Linked DNA regions of Arabidopsis thaliana. The protein of the gene in region 2 interacts with the protein of the main gene of each other region in a pairwise test. Each region holds a gene or a part of one and is shown on either strand. Other genes may lie near its edges. The genes, in order: ALE2, ESK1, SBH1 and AT1G11915.

Region 1 (9,614 bases), on a different chromosome or scaffold from region 2:
TTTTTGGCATTTTTTTTTTTTTTTTTTTGAACAAAGGCTTCTTTTTTTTTTCCGTAAACAATACGAAGATAAATCAAATACAACAAAAAAATTAAGTGATTAAGCGACACCTTCACCACATACTTGAGACTTAAGCAATAATTATTACAATTTTTTTTGTCACTTCCATGTGTCGATGTTACTTGCCGGTGAACATGGTTTATATTTATATCTTTTGCTGCTATATGATTAGAAAACAATAGTGAAACTGAAAAAGCCGGTGTTAGTTTCACTTTTTGATAGATTTTTATGTATTGGGATGAAAGAACAAAACTTTTGTGGTTTGTTTAAATTGCTATTGTTTTTTTCAATCATTCTTGTTTTATTTTTGCTATAAATTTTGTTTCTGCTTGGTCTTTATTATTATACTAAGTGATTAAGTTTAGAAGATCCAAAGAACAAACATAATTATTGGAACAAATATGCATGTCAATTGGGTTAGTCTGCAAAACCCGCATATATTTGATCTCGGTCCGTACAAATAAAAATTTATATTTTAAAGATCAACATGACCCTAACCGATACGGCTAGGCAAAAAAAAAAAATTGTAAATTATAAAATTTCTTAAAAAATAATTGTAGATGAATTGAGTCAATCAAAATTTAAATAACCGTTAAAGCCAATTTAATTTAGAAGATTTTCTTTTTTTTTAAATCAAATAAATTTAATTGAAATTTAAATAACCACTAAAGCCAATTCAGTTTATAATTTCTTTAATATTTTAACATGTTTTTATTTCCATCTTATGAGCATGATACATACTAGTCTTATATTTTAAGAAAAGTTATAGACTATTCATTAAAAAAAGAAATTGTTATATATTTACGTTTTATTAGGATTTTATCTTTGATTAATATTATAGAACGCAATATGTTTTCGATAAAGTCATTGAAAAAAACTCAATTTTAACAGTGTATAATGTTAAAAACATCTTTGTATCCACTAGAGTCAAAATAGTTTTTTCTAAAATTAGATATGCACAGACTCATCACGCGTGTGCCACTTGCACTAGAAGCATTTTGGATAGGAGGTGGTGAAGACATGAGACACTCTTTCATATGCTCATCCCTAGCAGTGGCTTCCACAAAGACTTGAAGACAAAGTTCACACCCTTTTTCAGCGAAAATGGTTTTGCATTTTTCTTTGAATGGTCGAGAGGGATGGTTCGGAACTGACATTGTTCAAAATAATCATCAATCAAACACCAACCCAACAAAAAAACAGAGAACAAGAAGATCATATAAGCTCAAGCCATACCGTGAAGGTGTTCTCGAACAGATTCGAATGATTTACAATGTTTGAAGCAAACCCCACACTAAGGCTGATGAATCGAATGGAACGCAATCTTGATGTGAAAAACATATTCTCTATAAGAATTGTACCTCTTGTAGCAAGCAACTCATTTCTTGGTTTTGCTCCCGCCGGCTTCCATGGCTTTCACACAACACAAACATGAAATTATGGTTTAGACACAAAAAACAAAACTCGGAATGATATGTTGGCTCAGTTGGTTTCTCTCTCTACTTAAGTGACTCATGAGGTTTTGTCTTCGGTACAATCCATTTTTTGTAACATTTTTCTTTTCTATATAACCACAAATATATTTTCTTCTTCTTTTTTGTTCGCTCATACGTCACATATACATATCAATTGGAAAATATTAACTCCTTATTTTCATTAGAAAATAAATCATTACAATTAAACTCAATACATATGACGATATGAGTTTCATAAGAAAGTAATATGAAAAACAATTGAGTATATAATTTTTTAGTATAAATTTTGCACGGTAATTTTGAAAATTTTAATAAATATTTAATTGATAATATAAGAAAAAAAACTAACTATTGATTAAAAATATTTAGCAATTAAAAAAAATTAACTTCTTAAAAAACTAACTATTAATATTATGAATACTAACTAGCAATTCTAGTTTCTTTGTTCTTTACTTTGGGTTCCAGTAGCATTCATTTCATGGTTCGTTTGGTCACGTTGATCTGATCAGTCAGATACTTAAATCGGACGTTCCTACATATTCCTCGATTAAAAATTATTTTGCTTTTGCCAATATAAACCAAACGCAAACGGATTTTAGCGTTTTGTCCTCAACTGTTATATCTCGAGAGATTAGATAGGTTTCATAATGTAGGCCCAATAAGACCTTATTAATTTTAAATTCAAAATTTTAAAATATTTTTTTCTCTTCCGTTTACTCAGCCACTGTGACCGTTGTTTGCTTAGCCCATAAATCGATTTTTGTGTTTATTGGGCCTACAGATTTTCTTTCTTTAGACTGTGTTGTATAACAAAATGAAGAAGACTCAGAAACTCGAAAGCAAGCTTCGGTTTGGCTGAAGTGGAAGGAGGAATTAAGAAGATATGGAGGAAGAAAGACAAACATATCAAATTATACTCTACGACTTTAAAGATCAACAATCCATGTCATTGTGTCCAATCTACAGAAGATACTAGAAATTAGAAAAGAATTACAACAGCTTTGACCAAGTGACTTGTTACCATTCACCAGCCAATTACTCTCAAGCCAGAATTTTATTTAACCAAAAAATATTTCGGATGTAAATTCAGAAAACCGGAAACTTAACAACGATGACCAAAAGCCAAATTTCTTAGGAACTTGAAAAACTAAAAAAAATTAGGTAATTACTAACTTCACTAAAATAAAATATATAAAAATGTTTTTTTGTGGGTGAGAGAGAAAAGGAGAGAACTAAATACAGGCGTCCTTCAAAATACAACCCTCCCTGTGCTTTTGCATCCTCGCAAAAACAAACAATTAAATCTCTATTGAGGATAATCATAACAACAAACAGCTCCTAAAAGAAATCAAACCGGAAATCTTTACCCAGATGAACCGAACCTGGCCGGATTAACCAGAACCTAACCATGCAGCTCAAGAGTTTGTGAGCCTCCTTTTCCCTTTTCTTCACTGTACATTTTCTGGTTTCTCAGAGCCAGTCACCATTGCCGGACCAGAGATGTCTAGACGACGACGGTCCACCGTGTTCGCTCATGCTTCCTCTCAGTCTAAAGAAGTTTCTTCTACTACGCATGGGTCTTAACGGACCTGATCTGTTTGGTAGAATAAGACCTCCTACTCTTGGAATGCTAGAGGCAGAGTGAGGCCGGTTCTCCATGTCCTCTAGTGGTCCTGAGCTATAATCCATTGTTATGAACGACGAAGCTTGACCATACCTTAACCGAGGTGTCAAATTCCACCAGCTGCTATCCGAAGGAGCCAGATCGCCTTTGAAGTCAGCAGAGTCTGGTACTGATGAGTCCTTTTGGCTGCAATAATCACCACAGGTCTCATCTGCATCGTTGTATATAAGTTTTAGTGCCTGCACAACTTCACCCATGAATGGTCTGTGTGAGACCTCTTGGTGGACGCACATGGAGGCAATCGCAGCCACTTTCGCCATGTCATCAAAGTTGTAGGTTCCAGCCAATGCAGGGTCCACCAGTTGCTCCAGGCCCTCTCTGTTGGCTAGTAAGGGTCTCGCCCATGTCACAAGGTTTTCCTCTCCCGAAGGTTGAGACATGTCTACTGGTCTTCTACCGGTTAGAAGCTCTAGTAGAACTACACCATAACTATAGACATCGCTTTTAACAAGGAGATGCCCCGTCATTGCATACTCAGGAGCCACGTACCTGAAATTATTTCCAGGGTAGTCACTGTAAGTCCAGAGTGTCTGTATTCATCATATTTGAGTTGGAAAGAAATTTTACCCAAAGGTCCCCATGACTCGAGTTGAAATATGTTGACTTCCTTCGGTTGCTTCTCTTGCCAGTCCAAAGTCTGAGACTTTTGGGGTAAAGTCATCTTCTAGGAGAACATTGCTAGCCTTGAAATCACGGTGGATTACTCGGGGATTTGAATCTTCATGGAGATAAGCCAGTCCTCTCGCTGCTCCAAGTGCAATCTTCAACCGCGCATCCCAATCAAGCGTTCCTTCTGTTTTGTCAACAACCGGAAAGCCAGGTTTTAGGTGGTGATGCAACGAGAAGTGATGGATATAATTGGGATATATTGTTATTAAAAGTGCAGAGAAAAGAATATGTCACCGTGTAAGTGGGACTCAACACTCCCATTGTGGACGAGCTCATAAATCAAGCAACGTGTACGACCTTCAATGCATATTCCAATCAGTTTCACAAGATTGCGGTGGTGCAAACGGCTTAGCATCTCGACTTCGGCAATAAATTCACGGTCTCGATTCTGATTGTCCCTAGTTAGCAGTTTCACTGCAACCTCAGTTCCATCTTCCATACTCCCCTGATAAACACGACCAAATCCGCCCTCGCCCAAAACCCTCTTGGCACTGAATCTATCAGTAGCCTTCTCAAGCTCGGAGAGTGTGAAGGTCTTAACTGATAAAGCACATGTAGCCATGGAAGACATCAAAGAATCTGAGCCTGAGCTTCTGGCGCTACTGGAAAACATAGATCCAGCACCTGCAAGGCGAATAAATTTTTCAGAAACAGGTTCTTTTAAAGCTATAGAAGCGTTAAGAAGTCAGAGGGTGAAAATTACCAGGCCTTTTGTTAATCGATGGAGCCAAAGCCGGACCAACAGCATTAGATGACTTCCCAATTTTCTTCCATTTCACGATTATAGAAATAGCTCCAACCAAAACCAGAATGAGGACAAAACCTGACAACGCAATAATTGCAATCGTTCTAAAACCTATTCCCTGGCTTTTGTTGGCAAAAGTTGTTGCATTGATCGGAATTGGAAGGCCTCCTGGAGCATCTCCAGTAACATCTCCATTTGGCGAAGAAGAAGGAATTCCTGAAGCAAGGTTAAGAAGTTCAAACTTTGAAATAAAACAAAAAAAAAGTAGAAACTTGCATCTGAATGAAATCAGTTTACCTGGATAACTTATGTGCGTAACCTCATAATCACCAAAAACAGTCTCATTTAGAGGTACTTTCTTGTGCCGGAATCTCTGATAAATAAGTGTTGCTGTAGTGTTGTCGAACTTTTCCCCAAGTGGAACAAGGTTAATATCCACCACTGTTTTCCCTTGATTTTCACTGTCGGCACTGGCACCCATTATTTTCACTTGGCTTTGTTCCAAGTATGTTCCAGCAGCAACCTCAATTTCTAACTCGTTGGTCACGGGGAAAATAGAAAAAGGTGCGACACTTAGTAGAAGCTGAACTTTCATGGGGAAGACACAACCACAAGGTGAACCAAAGGGAGTTGAAGTGAGAGGCTCCACACATGTCTGCTGACAGTCTATCAAAAGGAAAGCCGGAAATACACAGGAAAAAGTAGTTACTACGCTTGATTTATCAACTGAAGTCTGAAGAAAAAGTATTCATATAAAACATTATCGTTGCCACTATAATAGGACGCAGGATAACCAACAAGAAGCAAAAGAACTACCATGTGACGAAGGTGACACTGCAGTGGCATTGCGTCTTAAATGCCAGCGACGATGACGGTGATGACCCTTGTGCCTTAGTGGTGGAATGCGACTTGGGTTGGGGGAAAAAGCTAAAAAGGGAAAGACAATGAACAATGAATACTCCTAGACAGAAACATAATGACACTATGTTTAGGTGACAAATAGGATTCCCTTACTGACCTGGTGAAGGTGTAGGAGCAACTGATGGATTAAGATAAGGATGAAAGAAATGCATTTGATGCGCCTTTGATCGGGTAAATGGCAAACTCATCGGAAATAACCGAGCTGCAAATGATAAAGCAAGCTGATAAGTCATCTATAGATTCTTTCTACACATGTCGAATATTCATAGCAGTGAAAAGTTTCGAAAAAATAGAATGTTTCTAATAGTATGCATACTCCATCCTCCTCTCTTGGGTTTAAAAGTATAATGCCAACTGTAGAGGATAAAATTTGGCCAAGAGAATGTCACACAAAATCGATATTTCCTCAAGATACTCAGAAAAGAAAGAGTAAGATCTATGTGCATTCTAGCTATTAAAAGGTTGTGTGCCAATTAAGGCACAAAACGTGAGGACTTGATCTTCACTCTCACGCTTCACAATCACAGATTCCAAACTTAAATAATCTAAACTCTTTTGCTTACTTTGTACATAACCAAAATTAGCTTCTAAATATATCTAAATCCAATAAACAATTCTAAATATAGATAGACCACCAACTAATCTTGAGCTGTCAAAGTAAGAGCAACTTAACTAAAGGTTAATTTCTCCTATCAAAATCGTTTCCTAAATTTGAAAAGGGGAAAAGAAATTTGTTAACTAGTTCATACCAAAGCATATAGGAAACGAGGCGAGAGAGTGAAGAAGAAGAATTAACAGCAGAAGCATCGCAAAGTTCCGCATCTCTTATCTCAAATCAAAAACCACCATTAGTCAATAACGGAGACACCAAGCCTCGGCGAACACTCTCCGCCGATCAAAACGAAGACTAACCAGAACCAAAGGTGTAACCATATAGCTTCCTCAAAGCTTCACAGACATTGATTTCTCCCTCGTCCCGAAAAAAATTCAAAAACCCTAGGGTTAGAGAGAAGCGAGTAGGTTTTAACGCGATTTTGACAGATCCACGAAATGCGGCTCGAGATCTGTACAGAGCAGGGAAGCAGAGAACGAGAGCTTCTCCGACGATAGAGAGAACGAGAGCTTCTTCTCCGGCGAAGGTATCAGAGTGGTAGAGAGAGATTGGAAGCGAAGAGAGTAAAGTGAATTCGAAACCAGAAGAAGCGAAGAGAGAGAGAGAATTTAATGCTGATGGTGGGAAGGGGGCGTAGGGTAGTGTGTTGCCGTAGTGAGACTGCTTTCGGAGAAAGGCAAAAAAAAAAAAAAAAAAAAGGCGATGATGATGGCGTTAGCGAACACCGACGCGGTTTCGTATGCGCGTGGTGGCCACGCACATCGAAACGACAAAACTGGTGGCCGTTTGCTACCGTCACATCGACAAAACCGTTTCTTTTTTGGGCGTTAGTTGCCTTATTGGGCCGGGACTTACTTGAATTTTAGCCTACTAAACGGAATCGTTTTGGGTTTGATTTTTTTTTTTTTTTTTTTTTTAAAAAAAAAAAAAAAAAAAAATTAAAAACCCCAAATGGGCTGGGCTTGATTTCTATAAACTTGGAAACTAAGTATTTTCGGATTTTACTTTTGTTAAAAGTTTATTTTCGAAATATTTTACATTAAAAAGTAATAGTAATAATTCCACAAATGACAAGTATCAACTCTCAAAACTATTCCATTTTCGTGTTTGTTTCCAAAATTAATACTATATACTTGGCAAAATTTCCTATACTTTTAAGAAGACTTTATCAGTTATTTCCATTGTTTCTTTTTTTGGGTCAAAAATTCAATTGTTTCTAAAATATTAAAAGCTAACTAAATGATGGTAGAAGTAATTTTGATCCAAAATATAACAATGTTTTTCCGGTTTTGATAAATTTGGACTATTTGTCTATTAGGCAAAATAGAAGTTTGATCAAATTTAATCAAGACCATATGTGTGTGCCTCTTTCTATATCTATCGCTTTTCGATTGTTGATTGTCTTCTTTTACATTACATGGATATTTTCCCCTCCCTAATCATTTAAACAGGCAGTGATAATGATGGTATGTTTGATTTTTGACCTTAAAAAACTCAAATCAACAAACATTATTTATGTCAATTGGCAAACAGGTACTTTTTAGGACTTAATTTTATGATGTACTAGTAGCAGCTAATTAAATGATACACACAATCGAGATTGTAATAAACTACAGCACTCCCTCTACAAAATACAATCAGTGAAGAGAGTTAACCTAGGGACGGAGATACAAACTACCCTTATGAATCTTTCAATCATTCAAAAATGTTTCAAAATCAAATGACAACGTACTAGCATAGTCTTGATTTCCCGGTTCAGGTAACGGACTAACAGGGCCGGTTGGGTTAGGATTTTCCATTAGCCATTTCTCAAATTCCGATAGTTTGGTCTCCAAGACGTTTTCATTAATCCCTGGTTGCTGTTGTACCGTAGCTGTATGCGAATCTTCAGCAGTAAGAGGAGCTTTGGACGGAGCAAACCGATCCACATTTGTCTGAAACTGACGATTTCCACTACCACGTATGTTCTGGTCTGCATGTCGAGTGAACACGTTGCTCTGAGAACCAGGTAGCGCTGTGCAATGATCACGAACATTGCGTTGTTGAGTGTACGTTTCCGGGTTTAATGTAGGTGCCACTGTGGAAGAGCTATGGTGACTGGATTGTGAAACTTGAGCATTGTTAAATCGGATGCTGATACCATTTCCCGCAGAAGAGGCTACTCGGGATCGTAGGCTAAACCTATAAGAACTTCTATCCTTTTGGATCACGCTGTCGCGAACAGTGCTTAATGACTGTGCCGGTTGACTCTGCAACCCTTGATTGTGCGGAATCGGTTGCCTGATTCTATGCCTGGCTTTGACACTTGAAGGATTAGCAACACGGGTAGATGATGAACAAGGCCGGATCTCAACATGGTTTTTCCGAAGCAAAGTGTTTTTGGGTACCCGTAAAATACTTGGAGTAGGTTTTGAAGATGGTGCGGTAGGCATGTATCCTGTCCTGAAGTATTCACGTTGATTCTTCCATATCTTCTCTTTATCATTAGCATGACAATGATCTATGGAGGAGACAGCGATACACCAGTATGGACACGGAGCACGGATGTCACACACATAACAATGACACTTGAAAGAGAAACCAAATGAAAAGGATCAGCCAGGAAAAGAATCCATTAACGCTCCGTGTAGAATTAGAGAATATTTAGATACTTACCATGTCACAGTACTTCTCATGTGATGTTGAGTTGAACGCATACTTAGCACACGAATGTCGCGGATGAGGGAAATCTCTACATGCTATCTACAAAACAAAAAAAATGCTTTTTCATATTAGGAAAACTTAAGTGAACAACACTTGTATAAAGATGGAACACACCAAAGAAAAAAAGTTCATCAATGTTACACCGATTAAATTACAATAACACAAAACAGTTCAATAACTATCCATTCCTAAAACAGTTCCATCACCAAAGAAAAAAAGTTCATCAATGTTACAACGATTACTTTACAATAACACAAAACAGTTCAATAACTATCCATTCCTAAAACAGTTCCTCAGAGCTAAACAACACTAACGCATACATAATCTGAAATGAGAAACTCTGCCTTTCACACCAATTCGAATGAAGAAAACGAAAGAGAACTTAGAAATGAGAAGGGTTCAGTGAAAACATACCTCACCCTTTTGACCCACTACAAGCACATCATCATCATCGTCGTCGTCAACTGAAGTAGTCTCCCTCGTCTTGTCGGGATCACAGTCCAAAATCACACAGTCGTCATCATCTTCCAAAGCTTGATTCGACGAGTTTGGCTTCCGATACTGAGAATTTACACCACCTCTAACCTCAGAAAGAACCTCGACTATATCGGTACTGTCAGATGTATCATCGACGGGTTCCATAACACCGTTTAGCCAATCGGTGTATTCTACGTCTCCCCGTGTATCGACATCCTCTTCGCCTGAGCTCACATCGACTATATCAACATGATTACCCGAACCCAT
Region 2 (8,254 bases):
TTTCTTCTTGAATCTTCTTCTATGGAACTTCCAATTTCGTCTACTTATGGGCTTAATTTGGTTTACAAGTCTTGCTATTTCTAGAAAACTCGTCTTATCTTGAGTTTCTTGGACAGAAATTCTTGAGTTTCTTGATTTATCTTTGACTTGTTTCTTGAAAAAAAAAAGGAAAAAATTTTGGTTGGAATATTTCAACGGAGAAGAGTAGAAACGGTCGTTGGCTTGTCTTAGTAGAAAGTAGTTTACTTTTTTTATATCCGCAAAAATTGCGGCTTCAAATTCTGCTTCAGAAGACTCTTAGAAAATGGAAAAAGTTACAAACAAAGAATAATATTTATTTTCTGTCAGTTTTTCTGATCATCAATTACTTTTCTTGAATCTACAGGATAGTATTATGTGCAGTGGACCAAAGAGCAATCTCTGCTCTTCAAGAACCTTAACAGAAATCGAATCAAGGCAAAAGGAAGAAGAAACAATGCTTCTCCTCGAATTCGCTGCTTGTGATGATCTTGACTCGTTCAAGAGAGAGGTTGAAGAGAAAGGGCTTGATTTGGATGAGTCAGGGTTATGGTATTGCAGACGTGTCGGTTCTAAGAAGATGGGTCTTGAAGAAAGAACACCTTTAATGGTTGCAGCTATGTATGGAAGCATAAAGGTTTTGACTTTCATCGTTTCCACTGGAAAATCTGATGTGAACAGAGCTTGTGGTGAAGAGAGAGTTACTCCGCTTCACTGTGCTGTTGCTGGCTGTTCTGTGAATATGATTGAAGTCATCAATGTCTTGCTTGATGCTTCTGCTTTGGTTAACTCTGTTGATGCTAATGGGAATCAACCTTTGGATGTGTTTGTTCGAGTTTCGAGGTTTGTGGCTAGTCCGAGGAGGAAAGCGGTTGAGTTGTTGCTGAGAGGAGGAGGTGTTGGAGGATTGATCGATGAGGCGGTTGAAGAAGAGATCAAGATTGTCTCTAAGTATCCAGCTGATGCTTCTTTACCGGATATAAACGAAGGGGTTTATGGAAGTGATGAGTTTAGGATGTATAGCTTTAAGGTTAAGCCATGTTCTAGGGCTTATTCTCATGATTGGACCGAGTGTGCTTTTGTTCATCCGGGAGAAAATGCGAGGAGGAGAGATCCGAGGAAGTATCCTTACACTTGTGTCCCCTGTCCCGAGTTCCGTAAAGGATCATGCCCGAAAGGAGATTCTTGCGAGTATGCTCACGGGGTTTTCGAGTCGTGGCTTCACCCCGCGCAGTATAAAACCCGGCTTTGTAAAGATGAAACGGGTTGTGCAAGGAAAGTTTGTTTCTTTGCTCATAAACGCGAAGAGATGAGACCTGTTAATGCTTCAACTGGCTCTGCCGTGGCTCAGTCTCCGTTTAGCAGCTTGGAGATGATGCCAGGGTTGTCTCCTCTTGCTTATTCTTCAGGAGTTTCGACTCCTCCGGTTTCTCCAATGGCTAATGGTGTTCCTTCCTCTCCAAGAAACGGCGGATCATGGCAGAACAGAGTCAATACCCTTACTCCACCGGCTTTGCAGCTCAATGGTGGAAGCAGATTGAAGTCCACACTGAGCGCTAGAGATATCGATATGGAGATGGAGATGGAATTGAGACTCCGCGGTTTTGGCAACAATGTGGAAGAGACGTTCGGGTCTTATGTTTCCTCTCCAAGTAGGAATTCTCAAATGGGTCAAAACATGAACCAACATTATCCATCTTCCCCGGTGAGACAACCGCCATCTCAACACGGGTTCGAATCTTCAGCAGCTGCAGCGGTTGCAGTGATGAAAGCGAGATCAACCGCCTTTGCGAAACGTAGCTTGAGCTTCAAACCAGCTACTCAAGCAGCACCACAGTCGAATCTCTCGGATTGGGGATCTCCAAACGGGAAGCTGGAATGGGGAATGAAAGGAGAAGAGCTGAATAAGATGAGAAGAAGTGTTTCCTTTGGAATCCATGGAAACAACAACAATAACGCAGCTAGAGACTACAGGGACGAGCCAGATGTGTCATGGGTTAACTCTTTAGTTAAAGACAGTACTGTGGTGTCTGAGAGAAGCTTTGGAATGAATGAGAGGGTTCGGATAATGTCGTGGGCTGAGCAAATGTACAGAGAGAAGGAGCAGACTGTGGTGTAAACACACACAAAGATGGTTTCTTATATATATTGCTTTTGGGCCATCTCTGCAAATTTGATTCTTTAATTTTTGTGACTTTCTTTAGTTGTTACTGTTATTAGTAGTATATGGTTTGTTGTCACTACGAGTCTACGTGATGAAAAGATAGAAGTTAATTGCATTAGTTTCTATATTCGTTTCTCATCCTCTTGTAATTTATCAAACCATGAAATGGCTAAGCAATCCAAACCGTAATATGGCTGAAACAAATATACCATGTCATCAACACGAAACATGCACAACGCCACCTCAATGAGCTTCAAAACAGGCTTTAGGCTATACTCAACAACGGTACATAACATAAGTCATCAGAGGCTTCGCATACTTCCCAAATTGGTGATGTTTTAACAAAGTCTTACTTTAAAATTTCATTAAAATAGTAGAATTTTCTTAGATTGACATACTATACAGTATAAGCTTTTTCATAGAAAATATGTCAAAGATGTTATGGGACGCACGTGTGCCTCAGACACATCACTGCGCACGTGGTGAACTTCAAGTAAAATTCTTATTATATAAATAAAGGTATGAGTACGTATGATATATCCGATGTGTATCTGACTCACTCATACTAACAAAATACAGAGGTTTGGGTTGGGTTACTTTGGCTTTGGTTCAAAGCAAAACTGTTGAACGAACAACTAAAAGTCTAAAACCAAATGGAGTCATAATAAAGTATACAAATTCTGCCAAGAAAATAAATAAATTTACATATATATATATATGTAGTAAGATGATGTAAATAAAATGGATTGGTAATGGCAATGGTTGGTGCCGTATACATATATGTGTGTATGAGATTCCTTAGCCTTTACTTCTCTCAAACAGAAAGCTTCATACTATTATCATTTTGAGTATTTGACCTGTCTTTTTAATTTTCATTTGATTTTGCAAAACATATATACATCTATTTCTCTCTTAACGAACACTGATGCTTCACCCTCAACATGCGATGGAAACATGATTGTTACAGAAAACGAAAGATTAGTTTCTTATCCCAAAACGTAAGATTAATTTGGTACTAATCTACTTTTAGATTTGGTGATTAGGAGGAGTAAACTTGTGTTTAATATAAAACTGATCTTTGTTGCTTTAATATGCATGTTTGGTGAATTACACCCGGAAACATAATCAGATCAACTGGCACATGAGACATTAAATTCATGTTGGATCCTTATGTTTCATAGAACATTATGTTTATGAAACAAAAATGTAAATCAATCGGAAACTTTGGTGGTATACAAGTAAATAATTTGGAAAAATACATGTTTAAGCAAAAGTAATTGTTACTAATATCCTAATTTCTACAATTGTTGTTTCGATGGTCCCTTTCTTTAGGTGAGGATTGAGACAATCTTTTAGAATCTTTGATTCCACTCTTCGCTCCAAACTCTACTTTGCTATAACAACAACTTCAAAATAGATTAGTTAAGCGAATCAGGTTACATTTTAAAGAAAACGATATAGAGAGAGCAACTTTGTATATAATTTTAAAATTCTTCACCTGAAAGCCTTTAAAAACCAGTTCAAGATAAACCCATCTCACCAAACTTTAGTAATCACAAAACTAATTAACGTCAAACAATAACAATTTTTTCACAAATTTAATTCTTTTATTCCTTTATTCGTTGCTCTTATATTTCCATCGATCTTTCTCCTTGTCTCACAAACATTCTGACATTTTAGAGAGCCTCGACAGAGAATTATTTTTTTCTTTTTTATTTTCGTTTACAAGTTTCAATTCTTCTCTATATATTAAAAAAACAAACAGATGCAACCTTGGAGAAGAAAATTTCCATTGTTCGAAACAGGAGTTACAATGAAACAGAGGAAGAACAGTAATCTCTCAATCTTCGTCGTAGTCTTCTCTGTTTTCCTCTTCGGGATCTTCATGTACAATGAAGACGTCAAGTCCATCGCAGAGTTTCCTTTCTCCACCTCAAAACCTCACGACGTCCACGACGAAGCGACACCGATCACAGAGATCACAACACTACCGGTTCAAGAGTCGATCAAGAACTCAGACCCAATTCAGGAATCGATCAAAAACGCAGACTCAGTTCAAGATTCAGTTAAAGACGTAGCAGAACCAGTTCAAGAGGAGGTATCGAAAACAGAGGAAGTTAAAAAGATTGAGCTTTTCGCTGCGACGGAGGATGAAGAAGACGTGGAATTGCCGCCGGAGGAATGCGATTTGTTCACCGGAGAATGGGTTTTTGATAACGAGACGCATCCATTGTATAAAGAGGATCAATGTGAGTTCTTGACGGCGCAAGTCACTTGCATGAGAAATGGAAGAAGAGATTCTCTGTATCAGAACTGGAGATGGCAACCTAGAGATTGTTCTTTACCAAAGTAAACCGGAAAAAAGCTCTGTTTTTGTTTTCATCGATTCTTTGGGTTGGTTTAGTTTTGGTTTCTTCTAATTTTGTTTCCGGTTTTGTTTGATTTGGTGAAGGTTCAAAGCGAAATTGCTGTTGGAGAAGCTAAGGAACAAGAGAATGATGTTCGTTGGAGATTCCCTAAACCGGAACCAATGGGAATCAATGGTTTGTTTGGTTCAATCAGTGGTTCCTCCCGGTCGAAAAAGCTTGAACAAAACCGGTTCTCTCTCCGTCTTCCGAGTCGAGGTAATTGAAACCGACTAGTTTATTTCTTATAGTAATGATAATGTGTTTAGTGGAGTTGCTGATTTTCGAGAGTAGTTAAGATAAGTGTGGATTAGTTTTCTAGTTATTAATGTTGAATTTTTGGGTGGTTTTAAAAAGGATTATAATGCGACGGTGGAGTTTTATTGGGCACCATTTTTGGTGGAATCGAATTCAGATGATCCAAATATGCATAGTATACTTAACCGTATAATAATGCCTGAGTCCATTGAAAAGCATGGAGTCAACTGGAAAGGCGTTGACTTTCTTGTTTTCAACACTTACATTTGGTGGATGAACACATTCGCTATGAAAGTCCTGTAAGTCTACTACTACTTCAATATTATTACCTCTATGGTGTGTTATGTATTTTACAAATTTTGTGAATTGAGATTGTGGAAATTGACGATGAAATCAGACGAGGATCGTTCGATAAAGGAGACACCGAGTATGAGGAGATCGAACGGCCAGTAGCGTATAGGAGAGTGATGAGGACTTGGGGAGATTGGGTGGAACGAAATATTGATCCTCTACGTACCACTGTCTTCTTTGCTAGCATGTCTCCTCTTCACATCAAGTAATTAATCTTCCTTTCTTTTTTTCTTAATTGTTGCTTCAATACACAGATTTTAGTTAGTGATGCTTTGCTTGCAAATTGAAATTACTGACAAATTGATAGGTCACTCTCCATGTTTGACTAGTGTCACCATTGAAAATTTGAAATGATTACATAATTTAGTTTCAGTGATTGAGTGACATATGCGTTTCTTAGAAATTAATTCCTACTAGCTCCTGACTCCATTTAATTGACCTGCTAAATATTATACGTGAGAGTTAGTAGTTTTTAAACTTTTCCTTAAACCAAAATGATTTCAAATATGATTTGATTTAAAACAGGAAAAGGTTGATCATTTTGTGTTTTTCTCTGGATTAGGTTATTGATAGATTGCCAATTATAATGTCACTTAGTTAATTCTTTATTTTTGTTATAATAATCCAAAACAAAAAAAACACAGGTTGGTATAATCATTAATAACACCAGACCATAATATTTTAAACCTGCGGACGTAACTTAACTTGAAAACCAAGCAACTACCAGAAAAGAAAAAGAGATAACAAGTCGTTGTCCTTTGAAAAATCCACACAGTATACAAAAATCAGCTAAAAACATAAAAACTCTAAATAGTATTTCATTTTAACGAGTTGGTGAACCACCCACATATTAGACTTTTAATTGTATGTGTTTATCTTAACTAACAAAATATAGTTTGTAATTTTTGTTGTTATATTGTATAGGAGCTTGGATTGGGAGAATCCAGATGGGATCAAGTGTGCATTAGAGACGACACCAATCCTAAACATGTCAATGCCATTCAGCGTAGGAACAGACTACAGACTGTTTTCAGTAGCGGAAAACGTCACGCATTCTCTTAATGTTCCGGTTTACTTTCTCAACATTACCAAACTCTCCGAATACCGGAAAGATGCTCACACTTCGGTTCACACAATCCGACAAGGCAAAATGCTGACGCCGGAGCAACAAGCCGATCCCAACACTTACGCCGATTGTATCCATTGGTGTCTTCCCGGTTTACCTGACACGTGGAATGAGTTCCTTTACACACGTATCATTTCCCGTTCGTGACCTACAAAATATTTGAAATATCTCTTTTTCAATATTTTTTCCCACTTTGCTCCATCCAATGGAAGAGCCTTGAAATTTTATTATTTTGATGTCCTAATGTTCATAATTTTTCTTGAATTGTAATTGTGAAATGTTTCTTTCTTTTTCTTTAATGGTTATTAGAGTGCCTAGTAGGCTATTTTAACTGTTTTTGTACTCTTAAAACTTTGAAATGAGGTGGATAACAAAGGATGCCAAATGTTTTTTTTTTGTTCAATGAAGTGGGTAAAACTTGCTCACATTCGACTGTTTCTTTTAACGGTCGATTTTTTTGTTAACCGGGAAAATAAATATAAAGGTCATTATGTTTCAATCTCTTGCTATTTTGTTGGACTATTAAGATTTTTGAATGTTAGATCGTTACAAAGGATTCTTCCATTAAAACAGTAACATGATCACAAAACCACATCTTTTAATCACTATACAATCGAACCTTTTGAAAGAATGAATGTGTAGGAGAAGAAGAAGAAAGAAGTTAGATATGTCAGTGGTTACTCGGAAGTCTGGACCGGCGTACTTGGAACCGGCATTCCAACGTAGCCAACTCCAACAACAAAGAAGGCAATGGACTGCAAGAAAAGATACACGTAAAGGTATGTCCTCCCAAACACAAAATCATAGTATCCACATATGAAGAGATACATTCCAACCATTATCTCTCGCCATCGAAGTCTGCACAAATTCGAAATCATATCATTGATTGATTAGCCATTTCGCACGATAAATCTATTCGGGGAAAAAGTTCAAACCTCTCGGGGAAGCTATAGTGATCAGGAAAAATGAGGTTTTCCCTGAGATTGTTACTCTCTCCTAGTTTTTGTGTAACAATCCATTCTTTAACTCTACTAGTCTCTAGCAATCCAATGAGAGTTCCTATACTCCTATGCATCGCCATTACGTTTTCAAATAAGATCCAATAGAGTATGAGGTAAAATGATTTAGGTGTTGCAATAGCGTTTAGGATAGTGATGGTAGCTGGAATGTAGATAGTTGTCCATTTAGGGACTTCGATCTCCGGGAATATAACGGTAGCTGGCAAAATCACGCAGTAGAAAACGAATGTGAAGATGTGTACAACAATCTTCCTCAAAAAGAAGAAGTTGTATATCAAATACACCTTCTTCCATAAAGACACATTCTGTTTCAAACATGTCACACAAAAAAAGATAAAGGTCATTGAACTATATTTGTGTTCCGAAAGGAATTAGATTTGGGGATTTATGTAATCTATCTACCTGGTTTTTGATGATCTCCATTGCAATTTTCTTGAAAAGGTTCGCTGGACCGCAAGACCAACGATGTTGCTGAAACCGGTATGCTTGAAATGAGCTCGGAAGCTCGTTTTTCACCTTAAATAAAACTCCCAAAGTTTAGTCAGATCACTTCAGTACAGGTTGAATCATTGCATTCAGTTGATAACAAACCTTAACATCGTCGACATACACAAACTTCGAGCCGCGTAGATAAGCTCTAACAGCTAAATCCATGTCCTCGACTATCGTGCGGTCTTTCCATCCTTCAGCCTCATTCAAAGCTTTAATTCTCCACACACCAGCAGTACCTAAAGTCAACGATGTTCTTTTAGTAACTCAAATTAAGATCATATAATACAAGACACACAAAGAGCATGTTTATGGATGTTTCACCATTGAATCCAAAGAAACCAAGTATGGAGGATCCAGACTTTTGCTCCACTGCAAAATGGTAGTTAAGAGACATCTCTTGTATTCTTGTCATACAACACTC
Region 3 (6,852 bases), on a different chromosome or scaffold from region 2:
ATATTTGTTACATGAGTGATTATCTATAATAGATGGTTGTGCAAATTTCTTTGGCCTCGTTTATTTTAACCCCCACCAAATTTAGTAGCGTTCTTTCTTAACATCTCCCAAAGCATATCTTTGCCACGATGGAGTGATACTGATTGATTTGTGCCAAAAACATGATTCGTTTACGAACTTAAGCACTTCAATATCATCACAAACTAAAAGAAAACAGAGAATTCGTATTAACTAAGTACTTAGAGACAACAACCTTGTACGTTTATTGGTGATGACTACGAGGATCATCAGAGAACGACAACTTTGGATGATGTAGAGAGTCTTGGAATGGCAAGGAGTTCTTTTAGGATGACAGAATCTTCTTTCTTCACGGAATCATCCAAGCATAGGGTCAGTTTCTTGAGGATGGTTGAATTCTCAAGTAAGTAACTCACTAGTTTCATCTCCATCGCCTCTCCTTTCAATGGCCTTTCTATCTTAACATACTCGAGAGATGATAGGAAACGCCTAGGTCCCGGCAAAATAATATTTTCTCCCTTCTCCTGATAACTAGCAGATTTCTGCATATACCGAGTGAAAGAAACACAAGTTCAAGATATGATAAACTTTCACCATTTTGCATCTTAATAAGAATTTCATGGTTCAATAGACAATACTCACCACGACAAGAGTTTTTAGATTCGGGCAGCTCTCAAGAAAGATTGGCAACATTTCCCACATGTAGCCGTAAAACTCAACACACAAGACAGATAGGTTACGGAATAAGGGTAGTCGTTCACATCTTGAGAAATCATAGATAACCTGTAAGGAAAAAAAAAAGTATCAGGAAAGAATAAAGTTACACATTCAATCAAATAGCAAATTCAACATTGTAGTGTACCTCAAGAGTACTCGAAAAAATGATCATATCTTTAATAGTAGAGATGCCGAGGAGAAAATTACGTATCATAGTTCTCTTTGGTAGATCATCTGGATTAAACTTATTCACGGAACTCAAGTTAAACACAATATCGATATCCGCTTTGACAAGCTTACCGGGTTTATTAAGTATAAAACTTGCAACTCGATGATCACTTAGCCTCAAATACTCAAGCTTGGGAGCATCAATTGAAACAACAAGATCTTCAACCACACCCTCATCACTATCCGCAACATGAGTGAACCTCAACAGAGACTGAGACCGCACACGTAAAACTTCAATCTCATCACAAAAAGACCTCTCAATAGTCAAGCTTTCAAGAACCGGGCATTTCGTAATCAGCGTTTCTAACCCCATATCGTCAGCAAACTTAGTTATAATCAGATCCATAACTTTGAGTGAAGGTAAAGAAACAAACTCGGGACTAGCCAAAGTTAATCCACAAAGCTTTAAAGATACCAAACTCTCACAAGTGTAAATGCTTGAAGGTAACTGAACCTCCCAACTCCCATACGAATCATCCAAAACATCGATATGTTGAACTTTACGCGTGACGATAGTGTTGATCCAACGTCCGATAAGAAAAATGTCAGGGTCATACTCGTCATCACAATCATACTTCAAGATAAATTTTTGTAAGAATGATTCACTGTTGAAATCGAGAAAGCTATCAACAAAACTCAAGAATGTGTTGAACTCTTGGAAATCAGTATTGTCTAGGTCTAAACCAGGTACGTGTTTCCAGAGATTTCTCCATCTACGGGATAAAACACTAGTCTTAACAACATCTTTTGTGGGAAGATTCAAGAGTACCTCACATAGCAAACAATCTGGTAATTTGCTTATCCAATCAACTTCATCAGATCCTTTCGCACGAACATGTTTCTCTCTATCTTCATCCATGAAAAGAAAAAAAATATCGAATCGATAAGAAACCCTCAAAAACTTAAGAGAGTATCGAATCGACAGTTGTACAAGAAAAAAACGAGTCTACAGTTAATACGACATCGTTTTATAGTATAAATCGCATTGTATTTGTATAACGGGCCTTATGGGCTTTAGAGAAATAAGAACATAAAAGAAAACGCATTATAATTTGAAACGATGAGTTTGATGAAGAGATCATGTAAACATGTAGTTGTTGAACAACTTTGAGATCTGATGTGGTTGTGTTTCTTGTGGGACAAGCAAAAGGCTTCGCAGGTACTGTTTTATTTAGTCTAGACACTACTAACGAGTAGCAAAGAATTGCTCCATGTGGTAATCAAACATCTGGAGGATTATTAAATCTGTAATATTTCATCTTGCACTACAATACTTCTAAGAATATCCAATACTAAAATGTGAATGTGAAGAAATTATAAAACAAAATCAACACAAAATCTTTCAAGAATGGCCTCGTAGATGGATAGATTATAAAAAAAACATGTTTGTTGTAGTAATATTACATGCAAAACAAAAACCGAAAGTAGAACAACAACTCAATAATGTTTATATACAAATCTCAAACTCCAAGCTAAATTCGCTCTTGAGAAGAAACGCAAAACGCAAAAAAACCAGTTCTGTTTCTGATTTTAAAACTACACCTCCAATAACACAAAGTATCATCCATTTCTCCAACCTCAGGGCAGATACATAACATATATCCAAACTCCAAAATCTTAATCGTCTTTGAATTCTTTAGTCGGGCGAGCTTCGAATCCTCCATCTTCTCTTTTCTCAAGCGAGTAAGGCATGTAAGTTCCAAGAATCCGATCCCACATGACAAAGAAAGGCTGAGAGAAATTGTATTTGGTTCCATAGAGCTGATGATGGATATCGTGGTAAGCCGAGTTGTTCTTGAAGACCATATGGAATAAGTTTCCAGGTAGCCAGAGACCGCAATGGTCGTCCACGGTTTTGATCGTGGCGAAAGAGAAGAAGAAGATGGAAGTTCTTGGAGACATACCAGAGACTAGGAAAGATAAGGCGCCTCCAATTGTATCCAAGAGAAGACCTTCCACTGGATGGTTGTATAAAGCTCCATATGCATAAGGGACGATAAGACGGTGGTGTTGAGAGTGGATATGTTTGTATAAGAACTTGTTCTGATGCATATATCGATGCATGAAGTATTGCCATGTGTCGAGGACTATCATGGCAGTCACAAACTGTCTTGCTAGGACCAAGAAGGAAAACTGTTGCGCTTTGTCTGCTTCGGCATCACTTCCCGTCACCTGTATAGACAATGAAGAAGCATATTAGAAGAAGGTTAAAAGCAAAAACTAGTACAAACAGAAAAGAAGATATTCCATGATATTGATGAGTCAATTCTATCAGCGGCATGTCTAAGCAAATCCATACATTACAAGTACTCAGGATCAGACGAATTCAAACCAAGAACCGATGATGCCGCTTCATTCCAGTTCAACAAAAGAACCGATGATGTAGTCATTCCAGTTCAACAAAACAACATTCCAGTTCAACAAAAGAACTTGCTTAAGCTTAAAGATCACAATTAGCAAGGTTTACTATGTTTGTTGGTTTTCTCATCAGATAAGCTGATAAGAACCAGTCCTCTCTGAATCTAACACAAGTAAGGAACAGAGGACCAACGGAGCCTAAGATAGAGTCCTTGGTTGAATTCTAGAGCAGCCTAATAAGGTCTGCCAAGTCTAAACCCTATTGCCAAATCACAGAACAATCCCTATTGATACTTTCCTCTAAAGCTCTTAACTATTGTTAGAACAGTCAATATATGATCCAACTTTAAGATCATTAATACATAACCCATTTCTCTTTATGGGTCGAAAGACAACATCAACCCAAAAAGTTAACCTTTTTAAAAACAAAAATCTTAACCATCCAATTCCACACATAAAAAGTCAGCGTCAGATATCAAAATTCCCCAATATGTTTTACCTAACTTTTCACTTCAATTTCACAAAAGCAAAACAACTCAAAAATGGGAAAAGAGAAAAACGGTACCGTGAACAAAAGGATAGCGACAACAGCTTGAACAACCTGTTGAACAAGAACACCTTTCACAACAGAAGATTTCGATACAAGATTCTTCTCTTCTTCTTCAACCTTTGAATGCAATCTATAACTCTCTAAAGAGGAGAGCGCTACATAAATCCCAGAATACAACCAGTACACCACAATCGGAGCAACAGTACCCAACAATTCATCCGATACAGCAAAACCCATCATCATTCCTAAATCTCAGCTTCTTCAGATCCTCTTCATCAACCAAAACGCAAATGATGCAAAAAGGATAGATTATTTTCACAGGAAAACTTCCAAAGTTTTGATCTTTATTCTTCAATTGGGGAAATTTGATTATTGAAACGATGATTGGGGATTGTTTTAGGGTTTGGGCGTTGTTGAGTTGACAAATCAACGATGAAGAAAGAAACAAAACAAAGGACGATACTTGCGTTTTGGTCTGAGAGACAGACGTGGCTGAACTGTACTCATTGAAAAGAAAAAAGAAAAAAATATCTAATTATCCAGTGTGGTTAGATCTACAGTGAGTTATCTACGTGGCGGAATCTCGATCGTATATACTTTTGATGTGATTTTTAACGGTTGATTCGCTAAGAAGAATCTCGTACTTACCGTGTTTGATTATTATTACTGTTAGCGATGGCGTGATTGGTTGTTTTGTTCCTCGTTTTAGTTTCATGTCGTCTTTGAAACGACGCCGTATAAGTTTAAACATATGTGACGAATGTATAAAATTCATCTTTACTAGCTCTCATAATTAATGAATTAATCAAAAAAAAAATCAGTATCCGAAGTTTTACTACCGATAATACTAATTGAATGAAGGCAATCTCTTATATTTTATGTTTCTATAAAATAGAAGAGATTCTTAACCATGAGAGATAAATGGTTAAGAATGATAGATAACTAGATATTATGAGAAATTTTTAGATAAAACCTTTTCAAGAAACTCATTTTCGATATAGGAAATAAAACCATTGTCAATAAACATTGGAAAATAGATTGGGAGATTATGGAAAATCAGTTTTTTTTTTTGTCTCTTATAAAATAGGGTGATTTGCAGATATAGCATTTTTTTACTAAATAATTAACTAACTAACACCATAAATTTGTAAATGTAATAAATAACCTTCAAGGGGTGTGAAAAGACATCACTGTCCTGATGTTACGTTTGTCAGCGAGGAAGGAAAATGTTTAGTGTGAGGTGACGTGGCTTTATTATTAGTGTTGAGGTGAGAAAAGAAATCAGGTGGTAGGAGAGAAGTTCCTTTTTCTCTTTCTTTTTTCTTTACCCCTTCCCAATTATAATTCATATTATCTAATCTTTAAAAAATTAATTCAAGTTCATGATATATCAATTAAAAGTTGTATAGTTTTCTACATATATCATGACTTAAATTTTTTAAAACAGACACAAAATAATTTAGATGTGAATAGTGTTGTCAATGAATAACATAACGTTCTATATAGATACACAATATTTTTTTATGGAAAGATATTAAACCCTAAGGGATAATATATAGGGAACCCAAGGGTTTAAATCTAAACCAATAATTAAATCACTTAACATCCTTAATCAAAACAAATAATTCATTTTAAAACGTATATAAAACAAAGTATACGTAAATAGTATATTTACAAATAGAATAGTATCTCTCAAATTGCAACAACAAAACTCAATTTCATCACCAAGACACCAAGCGCAACAACGAAAGTCGATTCCCTGAATCCAAATTGTGTTCCTCCCTCTGTAATTCGAAACCCCCAAATCAAATCTCACCCAAAAGTAATTAAGAGACTCTGATTTGAAAACAAAAACAAGTAACAATGTAGGTGTAAGGACTTTACTGGGGAGAAAGAGAGAGGGGGAGGGAAAAAGAAAGAGAGAGAAAGAGAGAGGGGGAGAGAGAGAAAGAGAGAAAGGAGAGAGAACGGAAGATAGAGGTACACATAAAGAAAGATGAGAGAAATAGATAGAGGGGTAAACTTGGAATTAATATACAAAATATAGAGGATATCATTTTTTTTTTTTTGATGTTAGTTCCTTAATTATAAATTTTTTGTTGGTTAGTTTTGCCAATTCCCCTATAAAATAGAATTAATAGAAAACCAGCTGAGAACATGAATGAAAAAAAAAAAAAAACTGGTCCAAGACATAGCATTGTGTCTTAGTAATCTACTGGTTCCTATTCTACTCATGTAGAAGTAAATTAATAAGTAAACAAAACAAAAAAGAGTTTAGATAATGGTAGAGAATTTGGTCGCGGAAACAACTTCAAATTCGGCCTCAATCATCAACGTGTCTTCTTTGTCCAAGTAAGTCTTCCGAATTTTATCTAAGGAAAGAAATTTACACCAACCGTAACCAAAGTTTGATCCCTTGTGCCAGTAGTTCACTGCAAGAACAAAAAATGTGAAACAGTTATAATGAGAGTAATTAATATCTCAGTTTGTATATCGAAAGATTATAAAAAGTAATAAGATAATAATGCAACTGTCTTTTAGTAATTACATCGGCTTGCCACGTGATTGGATCCAAGCGGGTTTAGAATTCGCACAACTACTTGCGTGAAAATCTTCTCATCTGGTTTTAGTGTTTCATTATCAGCTAAATAAAGAAACACGGATAAATATTTGCCTTTTGCTCTAGAGTTGCCCTTCGGAAACAGCTTTAGAACCCTACAAAAGATAAAATTACGAACATTCATACACACATGTCTATAGAGATACATTTTTGTTAACGATTTTTATATAGATACTCACCATTCCCTTCCTCCTATTGAAAATCTGTTTGGTTTGGAACACTCATTTTCTTTCCACTGAGAAAAGTTCTTAACACTCCAAGTGACCTTGGGATAAGAGAGTTTCTCATCATGAAAAGAGAGGATTTCCCAATTGGTAAGAGGTGGAGCAACAATGACATCAACACCAAACTCACATTCATT
Region 4 (6,520 bases), on a different chromosome or scaffold from region 2:
GTCGTGTATATATATTTGCACACACATAGTTCAATTCAAGCCTTACATCTTCTAGCAAATGGCTTCTCTTTTCTTAACAATTATTTCACTTCTCTTTGCAGCTTTCTCTTCTTCTGTTGTAGAGGCTGCTTACAGTAATGGTTATACCATTCCCAAACTATTACCAAACCCTATCGATTCTTGCTGGCGAAGAAACCCTTATTGGGCGTCTAACCGTCGTGCACTAGCCGATTGCGCGGTAGGGTTTGGAAAATCTGCGGTTGGGGGGAAATACGGGTCGATCTACGTGGTTACAAACCCATCAGACGACCCTGAAAACCCTAGACCCGGAACACTGAGATACGCAGTGATCCAATCTAAACCATTATGGATCACATTTGCACGTGACATGGTCATAGTGTTGCGTAACGAGCTCATCATGAACAGCTACAAGACGATTGATGGAAGAGGGGCTAAAGTGGAAATTGCCTATGGACCATGCATAACGATCCAACATGTGAGCCATGTCATTATACATGGGATAAGTATCCATGATTGTAAACCGGGTAAGTCGGGGCGGGTACGGAGCAGCCCGACCCATGTTGGTAGCCGGAAAGGATCGGACGGTGATGCAATAGCCATTTTTGATTCGTCACATATTTGGATTGATCATTGTTTCTTTTCTCGGTGTCAAGATGGTTTGATCGATGTACTTCATGCTTCTACGGCTGTCACTATTTCTAATAACTACTTCACGCAGCATGATAAAGTAAGTTTATATTTTACATAGATGTAACTTCTACAATAGTATTTTGAATACTTGATGATAATTTGGTATGTTTTTATGAAGGTGATGTTACTCGGACATAATGACAATAATGTGGAAGATAAGATCATGAGAGTTACAATTGCGTTCAACCATTTCGGACCGGGTCTTATTGAGAGAATGCCTAGGTGAGTGTACATGCATACATATTGATATCTAGATTACTTGAACTAGATTAGAAAATGCTGACATGGATATGTGACTGATGACGTGGCAGAGTGCGAAGAGGATATGCGCATGTAGCAAACAATAGGTACGAGAAATGGCAAATGTATGCGATCGGAGGAAGTGCTGATCCAACCATTTTTAGTGAAGGCAACTACTTCGTTGCTTCTGATGACCCTAGCAAAAAACAGGTCTCTTCATTTAAAATAGTTAATATTTTAATAACTATCATTACAATACCACACATCAATAATGCAATGAAATCTTACATGCATATATATGATTCTATATATTTAGGTGACAAAAAGAATAGATAGTGGATATGATTGGAAGAGATGGAAATGGAGAACGTCCAAAGACGTTTTTAAGAACGGAGCTTACTTCGTGCCTTCTGGCTACGGAACCGTCACGCCGTTGTACGGAAGAGCAGAGCGGTTTCCGGTGTCTCACGGCTCTCTCGTCCCTTTGCTTACTTCATCCGCCGGTCCTCTCCATTGCTATTCCGGCAGAATTTGCTAACTAATTAATTATTATTCACGTATATATACATATGTGATTATATATAATGTTTCATAAAATGTAACGTTTTGATAATTTTGTTTCTTTCCTTGGAAACGACGAGGCGGAATTCCTGTTCCTGAGGTGTGTTTTGTGAATTATTCAGTACCCGGGACGGAATTCAAGTTATCTTGGAGGATTTATATACTTTTTGTTTTACTTTCAAGATTTGTTTTGTATAAAGATTTGAAGTTGACCAATGTGAAGAGTATAGTATTTTGGAGAAGTTTTTGTCTTGGCTTATACGAACAATTATGTGATTCTTAATATGGATGACGGTACAGCTACCATTATGCTTGCAAAATTTTTCTTGCTTGGTGCCTACCAAAAGATTACTATCCGACCAAAACGAAAAATTTACTATTGTATAAGAAAACACAAAAAATTATACGAAAATCTTTATCTAGAACTTGTAGTATACACAAAATCAAAGATAAAAGGTAAAGAACAAAAAAGGCAAAAGAGAGCGAAAAAAGAAGAAAAGAAGAGTGTGAGTGTGACCATGCTTTTAATCTTTTTAAAATTATGATTTCATTGGAGCTTTTAGAAAATTCTGTTCTCATTGCTTTGAACTCCACAAGTGACCGGAGCATTGGCTCTCACTTTCCTCAAGTACCAATATACTCCACCGGCAACGCCAATCGCTCCTGCCGCTGAAACTGCCGTCACTGTTCCTGTTAGCGACAAATTTTCCGGTTCAAATCAGGTCACAACTTACAAGTATATATAAAGTCATATAGTAATAAGATGACCACAAACTTCATGTTGTAGTTATAGTAAACTTGCTTATTTACCTGCGATAGCTCCTACGCGTTTATGGTTTACGAGGCTTGGATCTGCAGAATGTATCAAAATGATTGAAAATACGTATTAGTACTATCTAATAGTCCCTACCAAAAAAAAAACTATCTAATAGTAGTTAAATAGTTCTCAATAGAAATTGTAGTTAGGACGAAAAGATATGAACATAGACATTTTGACCTTTGCAATAAGTAGTGACATTGCCTTGTTTACAAAGGCACAAAAAATCTCGTGTCCTCGTATTAAACCCACAAACTCCACCACCTTTAGTCGTTTCTTGGCAAAGAAGGCACTTCATTGTCACTGGAAATTCGTAATCAACCCTTATCCCGTACTCTGGAAACTGATCATACGGTGCATTCTCCACACCTGTACTCCTCCAATACACACTTGTATACGTCGCACAGTCCTGCAGCATGAGCCTAAGAGATTGAGTCGCTTTAGGGTAATACGAACAACAAGAAACCCTAGATCCCAAAGCAGAGCCACATTCAGGCAAATGTCTGCATAGATAGCTAGAACTATCGCAGGACGAGTCACATCTATCTGGAAACCTTTCGCAGAAGAGCGGTTTTGGTTCGACGATAACTTTATCGGTGTTGCAGTTGAAGAACAAGTAGTCGTTTTGAGGAGAGACAGTGAAGTGTGTACTTGAATCGATGCTAAAAGATCTAGTGGGTCGAAAATTGTCTCGATCTTGACAGTTCCACATGAATGGATCGGAGACAAGAAGGTGAGGATCAGAGTAGCTTATAGATTTAACAGGGTATTTACCAGATGGTGTTCTAAGTTCGAGCTTGGTATCGTTGTCGGAGCAAATGAGCATGTGTCTGTAATAAGGGCTACCACAACCGTCGTCGATGGAAAAAGGGTAATTTATCGGAATGTTGCCGCAAGAAGATCTGCAGAGATTTGATTGGGATGATGTTGTTGATGATTGAAGAAGGATGGTCATGAGAAGGGAGAAGAAGATAATGTAAGAGTGAAGTGGAGACATTGTTCAAAAATTAGGAGTTTAGATTTGATTATTGGGTAGTTTTTAGTTATGAGATTATAATTTGGTGGTGTGAAGTGTTGAGTAAGCTTGGAATGTCTTGTTAAAGAGTTTAAGAATCAATCTTGTCATGTGCTTGTTAATATTGCTTATTTTAGGTTTCGGTTTGTTTTTAAAATTTCACCTTTCTTTTTAGTATAAAGTATTCCAAGAGGACTCGTGGTTTTGTTTCAGATTATTTGAAATATTTACATACAATATGTCAACAAACGTACTATTCTTTTTTCTGATATTTTACAACAAAATTTGTTCTTTAACATGTTATCTAAAAACCATTTAACAAAAAAAATAAAATGTATGAGAACCTTATAAAATACAAAATAGTAATTTCAGTATATAATAGTTTTGAATTTTCTTTTATTTAGAATTTCGTTTAAAGGGTTGTGATTTGTGAAGTAATCTTTGGAAGATAATCTCAATGTAAACAACACATTGGGCTTCTCATAGGCCCAATATAAACAACACATTGATCATTATCCATGTAAGGTGAACTCTTTAATCGAAACCGTTCAATTTCAGTCATCTCAATCCAACGGTTAGTATTCCAAGGAGCACGTAATCCACTCTAAATTCGTAAACACGTGATTTCTCACTAAATATAAAACTTGATACGTTACGCCTTCCTATCCATCCGTCAACGATTAAATCCAATCGTTCAATATAGAGATCCAACGGCTAATAACGAAACATTAGCCCACACGAAATCTCCTTTTTTTTTTTGACGGGATTATACAGTGGGCCTCCACCTGTAATTGTCCATTTAGGAGACAGCGCGGTTAATTTAGCATTATCCCTCCTCACAGTCATCTCTTTCTTCGCAAATAAATGTAACCATCTCTCTTCTCGTTTTCTTCAACAAAAATCCTCATTTCTCTGAGAATCTGGTGCTTTAGCTTTGGTGAGCTCTCTTTCTTATGAAACTTATCGATTCTCTTCTCGTTGATTGTCTTATACTTTTAGTTCTCTGCTTAATTTATTGTCCTTAATACTCGTGGATTTGTTCATAAATCGTTTTCTGAGCAGTTAGGTAAGAGTTTTGTTACCGAATTTCATGTTCTTCGATTTTGAATCTGGATGATTGTATGATGTGATTAGTAGACTCGCTTAGATTTTGTGATCTGTGTATGGTTTGTGGCTAATTTTGGTTTCATCGGTGGTATGAATTTATTTGGGGTTTTAGGTTTGTTTGATTACGTAATCGGACTGTTTACTTGAAGATTTATCGATTATAGTTGTGATCGTTTTTAGTTGATTGAGAAGAAGAAAATAAATTTCATGCTCTTGTTATTGTCGCGATTGTGGCGATTTTCAGTGTCTTATGAATCAATTATGTTGCATGTGAGTCTTGGTGCAATTGAGATTGTTTCCTTTTTTTACTAGATTGCTTGTCTTATTGAACAAAACTTTCCATTTATGTTGAAAAGGTTTATAGGAACGGATGTTTAGGGTTTTGTTGTAATCTGGGTATTTGCTTTCTGATTTCGGCAAGCAAATGTCGATTTCAAGGTTTATATCACTTTCTCTAGCAAAAGAAGTCTTTAGTCATTTGCAAAGTCAAGAGAGTTTTTACTTTATTTATTGCTTCCACGCTATTGCTTCGTGGCTGATTGAGAGAGACCAATTAAACTAATAATTTGTAGTTTGTACAATATATTGCGTGTAACATTGTCCTTCGTTATCTGTTTGAGGAGGAGGACCGAGTTAGCCTATTTTTAGTCACTTTACAAATTTTCTTTTATGTTGCATCATTCAATATGAACTCTCTGATATAAATATATGTATACATACTGGTTGACTTTTATGGGTATGGTTCTCTGCTTTTTTTCTCTGTGATGGTCTCTTGATTCTAACTTTCTTTGTTTTATGTTTTTGGTTTTTGTTGTCAATGAATAGGTAAAATGAAGATATACTCTAGAACGGTTGCTGTTTCACTCATTGTGTCATTCCTCCTGTGTTTCTCTGCCTTTGCTGAGCGCAATGACGGGACCTTCAGAGTTGGACTGAAAAAACTCAAGTTGGATTCGAAAAATCGGCTTGCAGCACGCGTCGAATCCAAGCAAGAAAAGCCCCTGAGAGCTTACAGACTTGGAGATTCTGGAGATGCTGATGTTGTTGTGCTTAAGAATTATCTAGATGCTCAGTACTATGGTGAGATCGCCATTGGTACTCCACCTCAGAAGTTCACTGTGGTTTTTGACACTGGGAGCTCTAACCTCTGGGTGCCATCATCAAAATGCTATTTCTCAGTAAGCAACATTTGGACTATTGTTGTTAGCTGTGGTTGAGATACTTTTGAGTAGAAAACTAATTGTGTTCTATCTCTTTTGCAGCTTGCATGTCTCTTGCATCCCAAATACAAGTCGTCTCGTTCAAGCACATATGAGAAGAATGGTTTGTTCTCTCTCTTAACTTGAAATTTTTTGCAGTTGGATTTCCCAGTTGGTAGATACTTTACAGTTCACTCAATGTAGCCTCTAGAATTCATGTTAATGTGCAGAAAACCATTGTTAAAAGATGCAACATCACTACTGATAGCAGCTGCTAGGTTATAACTAACTTGCTCATCTTTGATGCAGGAAAAGCTGCCGCAATTCATTACGGCACTGGAGCAATTGCTGGTTTTTTTAGTAATGATGCTGTCACAGTTGGCGATTTAGTTGTCAAGGATCAGGTAAACTATATGTCCGACCCTAATCAGTACTCTTACAACATACACATCAATGACCTCCTTCTTAACATTTGTCTATCTCATCAGGAGTTTATCGAGGCAACCAAGGAGCCTGGTATAACATTTGTTGTAGCTAAATTTGATGGTATCCTTGGTCTTGGATTCCAAGAGATCTCTGTTGGAAAAGCTGCTCCTGTTTGGTATGCCTGCACATTCTTCTCTTGTTTGGACTGAGTTACTACATTCCTGTAGTGTTAATGCTAATATGTCTTGTTTTTTACAGGTACAACATGCTCAAGCAAGGCCTTATCAAGGAGCCGGTTTTTTCATTTTGGCTTAACCGTAATGCAGATGAAGAAGAAGGTGGTGAACTTGTATTTGGAGGTGTTGATCCAAATCATTTCAAGGGCAAACATACATATGTTCCTGTGACACAAAAGGGCTACTGGCAGGTTTGTGATACATCACT

The links.
Region 1: the proteins of ESK1 (region 2) and ALE2 interact in a protein complementation assay, tested with the Arabidopsis thaliana proteins (one large-scale study listed by BioGRID).
Region 3: the proteins of ESK1 (region 2) and SBH1 interact in a protein complementation assay, tested with the Arabidopsis thaliana proteins (one large-scale study listed by BioGRID).
Region 4: the proteins of ESK1 (region 2) and AT1G11915 interact in a protein complementation assay, tested with the Arabidopsis thaliana proteins (one large-scale study listed by BioGRID).

What each region holds. Positions count from the first base shown.
Region 1 is NC_003071.7:8,753,470-8,763,083, forward strand, and holds ALE2 (Protein kinase superfamily protein), read right to left. Parts: upstream 6,830-9,614; 5' UTR 6,377-6,829; coding exon 6,304-6,376; intron 5,757-6,303; coding exon 5,652-5,756; intron 5,561-5,651; coding exon 5,450-5,560; intron 5,300-5,449; coding exon 4,931-5,299; intron 4,850-4,930; coding exon 4,592-4,849; intron 4,513-4,591; coding exon 4,123-4,512; intron 4,013-4,122; coding exon 3,787-4,012; intron 3,709-3,786; coding exon 3,006-3,708; 3' UTR 2,383-3,005; downstream 1-2,382. Other genes in the region: RIN13 (RPM1 interacting protein 13), read right to left, coding at 7,859-8,734, 8,823-8,909, 9,285-9,614. UniProt on the Arabidopsis thaliana protein: Required during the differentiation of the protoderm into shoots epidermis and cuticle.
Region 2 is NC_003074.8:20,776,463-20,784,716, forward strand, and holds ESK1 (trichome birefringence-like protein (DUF828)), read left to right. Parts: upstream 1-3,712; 5' UTR 3,713-3,947; coding exon 3,948-4,531; intron 4,532-4,634; coding exon 4,635-4,806; intron 4,807-4,944; coding exon 4,945-5,144; intron 5,145-5,242; coding exon 5,243-5,401; intron 5,402-6,120; coding exon 6,121-6,469; 3' UTR 6,470-6,771; downstream 6,772-8,254. Other genes in the region: SZF1 (salt-inducible zinc finger 1), read left to right, coding at 386-2,137; CSLA14 (cellulose synthase like A14), read right to left, coding at 7,000-7,180, 7,258-7,646, 7,744-7,857, 7,933-8,069, 8,155-8,254. UniProt on the Arabidopsis thaliana protein: Xylan acetyltransferase required for 2-O- and 3-O-monoacetylation of xylosyl residues in xylan.
Region 3 is NC_003070.9:26,191,353-26,198,204, forward strand, and holds SBH1 (sphingoid base hydroxylase 1), read right to left. Parts: upstream 4,375-6,852; 5' UTR 4,115-4,374; coding exon 3,887-4,114; intron 3,136-3,886; coding exon 2,581-3,135; 3' UTR 2,266-2,580; downstream 1-2,265. Other genes in the region: AT1G69630 (F-box/RNI-like superfamily protein), read right to left, coding at 288-560, 661-801, 881-1,822; AT1G69650 (TRAF-like family protein), read right to left, coding at 6,146-6,303, 6,420-6,586, 6,671-6,852. UniProt on the Arabidopsis thaliana protein: Involved in sphingolipid trihydroxy long-chain base (4-hydroxysphinganine) biosynthesis. Can use C18- and C20-sphinganine as substrates to produce C18- and C20-phytosphinganines (D-ribo-2-amino-1,3,4-trihydroxyoctadecane and -eicosane).
Region 4 is NC_003070.9:4,018,636-4,025,155, reverse strand, and holds AT1G11915 (wall-associated receptor kinase galacturonan-binding protein), read right to left. Parts: upstream 3,407-6,520; 5' UTR 3,327-3,406; coding exon 2,510-3,326; intron 2,365-2,509; coding exon 2,323-2,364; intron 2,203-2,322; coding exon 2,072-2,202; 3' UTR 1,864-2,071; downstream 1-1,863. Other genes in the region: AT1G11920 (Pectin lyase-like superfamily protein), read left to right, coding at 59-748, 830-933, 1,023-1,161, 1,268-1,489; APA1 (aspartic proteinase A1), read left to right, coding at 5,160-5,187, 5,277-5,629, 5,714-5,774, 5,960-6,054, 6,139-6,251, 6,335-6,503.